2 linked regions of the Macaca fascicularis genome follow. The protein of the gene in region 1 binds, or shares a complex with, the protein of each later gene. Links are inferred from orthologs where the notes say so. Each region holds a gene or a part of one and is shown in the gene's direction. Other genes may lie near its edges.

What was found.
Region 2: GTF2F1 (region 1) and POLR2B share a complex: the UniProt entries of both Homo sapiens proteins name them as parts of the TBP-based Pol II pre-initiation complex. The link is inferred for Macaca fascicularis from reciprocal best matches to the Homo sapiens genes GTF2F1 and POLR2B.

What each region holds. Positions count from the first base shown.
Region 1 is NC_088393.1:7,160,465-7,164,576, reverse strand, and holds part of GTF2F1 (general transcription factor IIF subunit 1), read left to right. Parts: intron 1-1,412; coding exon 1,413-1,597; intron 1,598-3,026; coding exon 3,027-3,180; intron 3,181-3,261; coding exon 3,262-3,323; intron 3,324-3,411; coding exon 3,412-3,531; intron 3,532-3,692; coding exon 3,693-3,766; intron 3,767-3,847; coding exon 3,848-3,986; intron 3,987-4,112. UniProt on the Homo sapiens protein: TFIIF is a general transcription initiation factor that binds to RNA polymerase II and helps to recruit it to the initiation complex in collaboration with TFIIB. It promotes transcription elongation.
Region 2 is NC_088379.1:76,855,108-76,860,309, reverse strand, and holds part of POLR2B (DNA-directed RNA polymerase II subunit RPB2), read left to right. Parts: intron 1-2,082; coding exon 2,083-2,179; intron 2,180-3,315; coding exon 3,316-3,410; intron 3,411-4,501; coding exon 4,502-4,752; intron 4,753-4,842; coding exon 4,843-4,932; intron 4,933-5,187; coding exon 5,188-5,202. UniProt on the Homo sapiens protein: Catalytic core component of RNA polymerase II (Pol II), a DNA-dependent RNA polymerase which synthesizes mRNA precursors and many functional non-coding RNAs using the four ribonucleoside triphosphates as substrates.

The sequences.
Region 1 (4,112 bases):
CTGAGGCAGGAGAATGACTTGAACCCGGGAGGCAGAGGTTGCAGTGAGCCGAGATCACACCACTGCACTCCAGCATGGGTGACAGATCAAGACTCCGACTCAAAAAAAAAAACAAGAAAAAAATTAAAAATGGTGATGGGGTCTTGCTATGTTGCTCAGGCTGGTCTCAAACTCCTGGGTTCAAGCGAGTATCCAGCCTCGGCCTCCCCTCCCAAAGTGCTGGGATGACAGGCTTAAGCCACTGCATCCAACTGTCACTTTTTTGGTGCACCGCTCAGTGGGGTAAAGCCGCTCACAGTGTTATGCAGCAGTTTCATTATCTTTCACACCAGCCTGGGCTTTGCCCGTGTTACATGTATTCCTAACACTTCTCATTACATGCAGTCTTTTTTGTTTGTTTGTTTTTTGGAGACAGAGTCTTACTCTGTCACCCAGGCTGGAGTGCAGTGGTACAATCTTAGCTCACTGCAACCTCCACCTCCCAGCTTCAAGCAATTCTCCTGCCTCAGCCTCCCAAGTAGCCGGGACTACAGGCACCCACCACCACGCCTGGCTTATTTTTGTAGTTTTCGTAGGGGCGAGGTTTCACCATGTTGTTCAGGCTGGTCTCAAACTCCTGACCTCAGGTGATCCACCTGCCTCGGCCTCCCAAATTTCTGCGATTATAGGCGTGAGCCACTGCACCAAGCCCGGCCTGCAGTCCTGTTTTTCGAAGCTTCCATGAGCAATGAGACAACGTTACATTGTTCCAGTGGAAACAGTAGGTTTTGTCATTAAAGAAAAAGACATCTATAAATTAAGATAACAAGAGATCTGGCCAGGTGCAGTGGCTCATGCCTATAATCCCAGCACTTTGGGAGGCCGAGGCAGGTGGATCACCTGAGGTCAGGAGTTTGAGACCAGCCTGAACAACATGGTGAAACCTCGTCCTTATGAAAACTACAAAAATTAGCTGGGCGTGGTGGTGTGTGCCTGTAGTCCCGGCTACTCAGGAGGCTGAGGCAGGAGAATGGTGTGAACCTGGGAGGCGGAGGTTGCAGTGAGCCAAGATTGCACCATTGCACTCCAGCCTGGGCGACAGAGCGAGAGTCTGTCTCAAAAAAAAAAAAAAAAAAAAAAATAGCAAGAAACCAGTGTGACTGCATTGGGGCCAGACTCTGAGTCCAAGGGAGGTGCTGAGACTCCAGCAGCACGTGGGGACCCTGTCTTTGAGGGACTCGGGGCGGAAAGGGAAGGTAGGAAGGGCCGGTTCTATCCGTGTGGTTTCAGGGAGTCCTGGGCCACAGCCCAAGTCCCCGGGGTCCACATCACATTGAAGGCTGTGTGGGTGGTGCCCGAGGGCTCGCCCCCTGCAAGCGCAGGGGCAGGGTGGTGCCAGGCCCAGCATGAGCCACCCTGTGCCTGGCCCCCAGGAGGAACAAGGTGCTGAACCACTTCAGCATCATGCAGCAGCGGCGGCTCAAGGATCAGGACCAGGATGAGGACGAGGAGGAGAAGGAGAAACGCGGCCGCAGGAAGGCAAGCGAGCTACGCATCCACGACCTGGAGGATGACCTGGAGATGTCGTCTGATGCCAGTGACGCCAGCGGTGAGGAGGGTGAGCACGGGGGCCCGGGCATTAGGCTACAGAGGTACCTGCTCAGGCGGTGCCAGTGAAGGCACAGTCTACCGTCGCTCACAGTGGCCCTAGAATTCGAGGCACCTGGGGCCAGGTGCGGTGGCTCACGCCTGTCGTCCAGCACTTTGAGAGGCTGAGGCAGGCAGATCACCTGAGATCAGGAGTTCGAGACCAGCCTGGCCAACACAGTGAGACCCTGTCTCTACTGAAAACACAAAAATCAGCTGGGCATGGTGGTGCATGCCTCTAGTTCCAGCTACTCGGGAGGCTGATGCAGGAGAATCGCTTGAACCTGGGAGATGGAGGTTGTAGTGAGCCGAGATCACGCCACTGCACTCCAGGCTGGGCGACAGAGAGGGACTCCGTCTCAGAAAAAAAAAAATGAGAGTCAGGCGAGGCTGCCTGGAGGAGCAGTGATATCAGTCAAGAGGCAAAGCCAGAGCCCGGGAGAACTGAGCTGTGGCCCTTCTTTCTTTTTTTTTCTTGAGACAGGATCTCTCTCTCTCACCAGGGCTGGAGTGCAGTGGTACAATCACAGCTCACTGCAGCCTTGACCTCCCAGGGTCAAGCAATCCTCCCACCTCAGCCTCCTGAGTAGCTACAGGACTACAGGCATGCACCACCATGCCCGGCTAATTTTTGTTTTTTTCTTTTGGAGACAGAGTCTTGCCCTGTTGCCCAGGCTGGAACTCAGTGGTGCGATCTCAGCTCACTGCAACCTCTGCCTCCCAGGTTCAAGTGATTCTCCTGCCTCAGCCTCCCAAGTAGCTGGGATTACAGGCATGCGCCACCACGCCTGGCTAATTTTTGTGTTTTTAGCAGAGACGGGGTTTCACCATGTTGGCCAGGCTGGTCTTAAACTCCCGAGCTCAGGTAATCTGCCTGTCTTGGCCTCCCAAAGTGCTGCGATTACAGGTGTGAGCCACAGCACCTGGCCTAATTTTTGTATTTTTTGTAGATACTGGGGTCTCACTCACTATGTTGCCTAGGATGGTCTGAAAACTCCTGGGCTCAAGCCATCCTCCCGCCTCAGCCTGCCAAAGTGCTGGGATGACAGGCATGAGCCACCGCGCCTGGCCTGGCTGAGGTCTTTACGGGGGTTCCTATGAGAAACTGCAACTCTGGGTTGGCCAGTTTCAATAATTCCTGTGCGCTCTGGGCTGTAGGGGCTGTCCCTGGTTATCAGGTGCCTCGCCTGGGGTGGTCTGGGAGTGGGGAGTGGTCTGTGAGCGTTAGAGAACGTGGGTTGGGGTGTGGGGTCTGGACCAGGAGTTTGTTTAGGAGAGCTGAGCTCCTGGGCTGGCCTTGGTGGGGCAGTCTCCCCAGTCAGTGAGGCCCCCAGGATGTCAAAACTGCACAAAATACCCACTGCCTCCCCCTCCTTTTCCTTCCTTTCCTCCCTTCCCAGGCGGCAGAGCCCCCAAGGCCAAGAAGAAGGTGCCGCTGGCCAAGGGTGGCAGGAAGAAGAAGAAGAAGAAGGGCTCTGACGACGAGGCCTTCGAGGACAGCGACGATGGGGACTTCGAGGGCCAGGAGGTGGACTACATGTCGGATGGCTCCAGGTGAGGCCGACGCGAGGCGGCTGCGAGACCCCGTGCGGCCTTGCGGGCGCGCACTCACCCTCTGCCGCCCCTGTCTCACAGCAGCTCCCAGGACGAGCCTGAGAGCAAGGCCAAGCCGCCCCAGCAGGAGGAGGGGCCCAAGGGTAGGCGGCGGCTGGGCGGGCCCCGGGGAGATGCGGGGGGAGATGCGGGCAGTGCGTCTCTGCTCTTGCTCATACCCTGTCCCCCCAGGTGTTGATGAGCAGAGTGACAGTAGCGAGGAGAGTGAGGAGGAGAAGCCACCCGAGGAGGACAAGGAGGAGGAGGAGGAGAAGAAGGCGCCCACCCCGCAGGAGAAGAAGCGCAGGAAAGGTGCGGCCGGTGTGGCCCATGTTGGAGGCTCGGGTCAGGGCCTGGTGCTCTGCTGCCTCCTCCCCTCTCCCCTGCAGGCCTCCCTCATCTGCAGTGGAGGTACCGGTGGATGCCGGGTCCCAGGGTTGCTCTGGCCCTGACCCCTTTCCTGTGCCCCGCAGACAGCAGCGAGGAGTCGGACAGCTCAGAGGAGAGCGACATTGACAGCGAGGCCTCCTCGGCCCTCTTCATGGCGGTAAGGCCCAGCCCGGTGACAGGGGAGGCCTGGGCGTCTGTTTCCAGACTCACACCCCTCACCCCACCCTGACCTCCGCAGAAGAAGAAGACGCCACCCAAGAGAGAGCGGAAGCCGTCGGGAGGGAGCTCGAGGGGCAACAGCCGCCCAGGCACGCCCAGCGCAGAGGGCGGCAGCACCTCCTCCACCCTGCGGGCGGCTGCCAGCAAGCTCGAGCAAGGTGAGCGCCTGTGGCCTCCCCACTCCCACAGCCACGGCCTCCCGACCTCTGTTGGGGCTTAAGACAGAGAGGAGATGGAGATGGGGGTGGAGGCCTGTCTGTCCCCAATCCCCCTGAACCCTCATC
Region 2 (5,202 bases), on another chromosome or scaffold:
AATGGCGAAGAGAAATCTGAAGGGTATGAGTGTTGACTATTAAAGGAGATGGTAGAGTTCTTTGGCACTGTTGTTATCTTTTGTATTAACAGACTTTTGGCTTTGAATGTGAGTAACATTTGTTATTTGTTAGTAAAGTTCATCTTTAGTGTACTGTAATGGGGCTCTAACATTTTGATAGGAAATTCTCATAGGTTAAAATTACTTACTTTCAAAATCCTCCACAAGGGGTTCCTCTTGTCTAGAAAAGCAAAATCTGTTAGGTTGTCTACACAGTATGCACGTATCTTTGGGCTGTGCTTGCAGTGCTGTGTTTTCTCCAACATTTAGATAATAGAGTTTCTTTATGGCTAGAGAAGAAAATACATATACTGAAGGACTAGGTTGGAAAGCAAATGTTCCTTTGGTACTGGCGTAAGTGGAGAGTCATGGCTGGCAGGACTGCAGTTCTGTTATTCCTGACTTCATCATGGCATCTTTATTTTGAAGTTCTTTTTTTTTGTAGAGATAGGGTCTGCTTTGTTGCCCAGGCTGGTCTCAAACTTCTGGGCTCAAGTGATTTTCCCACCTCAGCATCCCAAAGTGCCAGGATTACAGATGTAAGCCACTACAGCCGATCCATCATACCATCTTTAAAAAAACTTTTGACATTTTACCACATTTGCTCTATTATTCTCTCCCTTTTTATTACTTCTCCTGAACCACATGAGAGTAAGTTGCAGGCGTGAAGCATGTGTTTCCTTCTTCAGTATGTGTTTCCTAAGGACAAGGACATTCTCTGTAGTGCAGCCATCAAATCAGGATAACATTGCTATCCATATAGTCAGCAGTCCTCAATTCAAATTTTGCCAGTTGTCCTAATGATGTTTTTTTTTTTTTTTTTTTAAAGAAAGCAGTTTTTATTGTATTCAAACCTAACGATGTCTTTAGTGGGTCTAGGAGCTAATCTAGGATTGTGGATTGCATTTAATTACATGTTTCTTTAGTTTCCTTAATCTAGAACAGTTTCTTAGTCTTTCCTTGTCTTTCATGACCTTGACATTTGTGAAGAGTTCAGGAAAGTTATTTTGCATTGTGTCTCAATTTAGGTTTGACTATTCTTTCCTCATGATGATATCCAGGTTAAGAATATCAAGTTATTTTATATGTTATGTTATGTTATGTTATGTTATGTTATGTTATGTTATTTATTTTATTTTCGAGACAGATTCTCACTCTGCTACCAGGCTGGAGTACAGTGGTGTGATCTCAGCTCACTGCATCCTCCACCTCCCGGGTTTAAGGGATTCTCCTGTGTGAGCCTCCCGAGTAGCTGGGACTACAGGCACATGCCACCACGCCCAGCTAATTTCTGTATTTTTAGTTGAGATGGGGTTTCACCATGTTGGCCAGGATGGTCTTGATCTCTTGACCTTGTGATCCACCTGCCTTGGCCTCCCAAAGTGCTGGGATTACAGGCGAGAGTTGAATATCCAGTTATTTTATGGGCTCATCAAACAGTGTTTTGGCAGCAGCAAGTAAGAATTTCATTGTGGCAGGAAAGATATGATAATTTTTTGGTGGTACAAGGAGAGGGAAATAGGGTAGTACCAGTTTCAAACCTAAAACCAGAAATCGGGAGACAAGGAGCTAGGGCTTGAGCCTATTGCTTATTAATTTTGAGATCATGGGTAGATTGTTAATTCACTCTTCTGATTCATGAGAATAATAATGCTTATTTTGTTTATGGCACAGAGTTGCTGTGAGGATCATGAAACTTGGTTTGGGGAGGCACTTTCTAAGTAGGAGGTGACTCACATGTATAATCACTTATTATGAGAATGGATACATTGGGAGTGACTAGTCTTAGGATTTGCTTGTGTGAGATATTTAGCCATCAGAGTAGTTGCCTCACAGATTGCTATTCTAGGAGGAATAGACTTTGGCAGTTACCGTGACAACAAACACCCAAGCATTTATGGCAAATATGATTTAATTAAAGTTGATTTAAAGAAAGGGCAGTTTTCCTGTTTTCCGGGTGATGTTTTAATGTATGCTTTTTTTTTTTTTTTTTTTAATATGTGCTTTTTAAATTCACTGCAGGCATCAACTCAATTGTGGCCATTGCATCATACACTGGATATAATCAGGAAGACTCTGTTATCATGAATCGTTCAGCTGTAGACCGTGGCTTCTTCAGGTTTGTATTTTGTAAATTTGTCACAACACAGATACAGTGGAAACACTAATATTTTATTCAGAAAAAGTTCTTAAAATATAGTTTAGCTACGCACTACTCCAGCAAGCAGAAGGCCTGGCTGATGGTCACAAACAACTGAAGATACTACTTCTTATATCTCTTAGGAATTTCAAATGCTAGTATTTTGAGCCTTTCTTTTGGTAAGGAAATATACATTTACATTTAGATAATATAGAAATGTCTAAAGAAGAAATAAAAATAACTTAGAATCCATAGATAACTACTGTTAAAATTATGGTGTGTTTTCTTTTCACTCTTTTTTTCCATTATGCTTCAGCTTGATTGTCCTATTGACAAATAGACCTCAAATTCAAGGCATATAAAGATTGTTTTAAAAACTGGGAATTTAGTAGAGGGGAATGGATTTTCCTTTTTCTGTGTAGTTTCAAAGGATAGCACTAGAACTCAGAGGATACATATTATGGCTTAATGTAAAAACTTCTTTTTTTTTTGAGACAGAACTCGCTGTTGCCAAGGCTGGAATGCAGTGGTGCAATCTTGGCTCACTGCAATCTCCGCCTCCCAGGTTTCAAGAGATTCTCCTGCCTCATTTTCCCAGGTACCTGGGATTACAGGCTTGCACCACCACACCCAGCTTTTTTTTTTTTTTGGTATTTTTAGCACAGACCATGTTGGCCAGGCTGGTCTCGAACTCCTGACTTCAGATGATCCACCCACCTTGGCCTCCCAAAGTGCTAGGATTACAGGCGTGAGCCACCATGCTCGGCCAATGTAAAAACTTCTCACTGGAAGTGTTTGAGTAGAACCTAGGTGACCATCTTTCAGGGTTATTTTGTAATGGATTCTTAAATTGTGTAGGAGGTTGGACTCATTGACCCTGGGTCTTTTCTATTTTGACATATAATTCTAGGTGGTTAAGGTTATGGGTCAGATGCTACATATGTATGACTTGTGATAACATTTGGAGTTTAACTCCGACCCTTAATGCAGTTATTCTTGTCCCAGATTCATAGTTTAAATTGTCTCCCGAATTTCAAGTAAATGAGAAATTGTTGGTATAGTCTCAGCCCTTTTGTTAAAAAATAGACTTTACCTTTAGAACCATGTGGTTTTAGGTCTGTTTTCTATCGCTCATACAAAGAACAGGAGTCTAAAAAAGGATTTGATCAAGAAGAAGTTTTTGAGAAGCCTACACGTGAAACATGCCAGGGTAAGTGACGCTAACATTTAAATGATGGAATCCAAAGTTAACTTACTGTGGTTTTCCTAAGTGATTTTGATGGGTTGTGTCAGCCTGCGCCTGCCCCCATCCCCCTCCCCTTTTTTTTGTGCAATGAAACTGTGTTTTCATGTTATTCTTAGAGTTCACATCTAAGAAAATATGTGTATTTCATAAAAGTCTTTGCACCTACGAGTGAGCTTGCTACAGACCTTCCTTCCTGGTAGGTCCTGCATTGAGGAGGCAGTTTAGGAAATCAGAGAGGTCATGTAATTTCTGGGGACACACTTCACGCCTGTCCCCTCTTCCTTTCCAAATTATGGTGTGATCATAATATTTGTTCAGCCACATTATTTGTAAACATTTAAAAAATAACCAGTGAAAAGAGGATACCTAGCATTTGTTGTTTCTTGTAGAAAACTCAAACTTACTTTCTAGTTATTTATTTTGACAGACACTTAAAAACTGCTTATGCAGTGGGATGGTTGGGTTGTTCCAGGAAAATGCAACATTTCTGCTACAGTTTTGACTGTGAATAGCATTGCATGAAGTAAAATGTATTTTGTTTCCTTTGCCATCTTCCTGTTACTCACCTTCCATTGGGTGGTTCTGTGTAGTAGTGAATTGATGTCCATTAGAGTTAAGATTGAGTTAAGATGAAATCCACAATTTCTGTGGGAGGATGTGTGCAGAGGGAATCCATAGATATTCTCTTTTTAATTAAAAAATTTTTTCTCCTGTACCCACTGATAGCAGAGATATTCTTTCTCTTATAATATAGAAATCAGAAGATTGCAAAAAACATATCCAGAGTCACTTGATAAATGTCTGTCATGGAAGAATCTGCTTTCCCAATGCTGATTCCAATGTTCTTTTTCTTCATAGACTTTTTTTTTTTCCTTTTTTTCCTGTGTGGACTGTGGTATTACAGAATTCAGAATAGTTTGTAATATTTGGAATAAGGGTATGATTCATGGTATAGAAATTCCTGTGGCCTTCTCTCTGACTTGGAACTGATTCATGTGTGTGGTTTTTAATCTTTGTTGGGGATTATGTGACATTCCATGTCTATTTCCTCACAGGCATGAGGCATGCCATTTATGACAAACTGGATGATGATGGTTTGATAGCTCCAGGGGTTCGTGTATCAGGAGATGATGTTATTATAGGCAAAACAGTCACCTTGCCTGAAAATGAAGATGAATTGGAGAGCACTAATAGACGCTATACCAAGAGAGACTGTAGCACTTTTCTCAGAACTAGCGAGACAGGCATTGTGGATCAGGTTATGGTAACTCTCAACCAGGAAGGATATAAATTTTGTAAAATAAGGGTGAGTATTGAACTTTGTATGAACTTTGTTCATGTAGCTAGTCTTAGAAAGTAAACCAGATCCACTTAACTTATTTTTATATGAATTTAGGTACGCTCTGTTAGGATTCCACAGATTGGAGACAAATTTGCTAGTCGACATGGCCAAAAGGGTACTTGTGGTATTCAGTATAGACAAGAGGTAGGTATCTTTGATCTCCCTCGCACCCAAATCACAGTTTTGTTAAACATTTTTTTTTTTTTAAATCAAAATTTGCTTTAACTTAAGAGCTCGAAGATGATACAGATTGAACTTTTTTATTTTATTGTTGAATAAGTATATGAACATACCATGTTGAAACAGAATATGGGACATACAGTAATTCATTTGGGAGGGGGTGTCAGTTCTAGTTTAGTATATGTATCTTTAAGTCCCTTTTAAAATTTTTCTTTATAGGATATGCCTTTCACC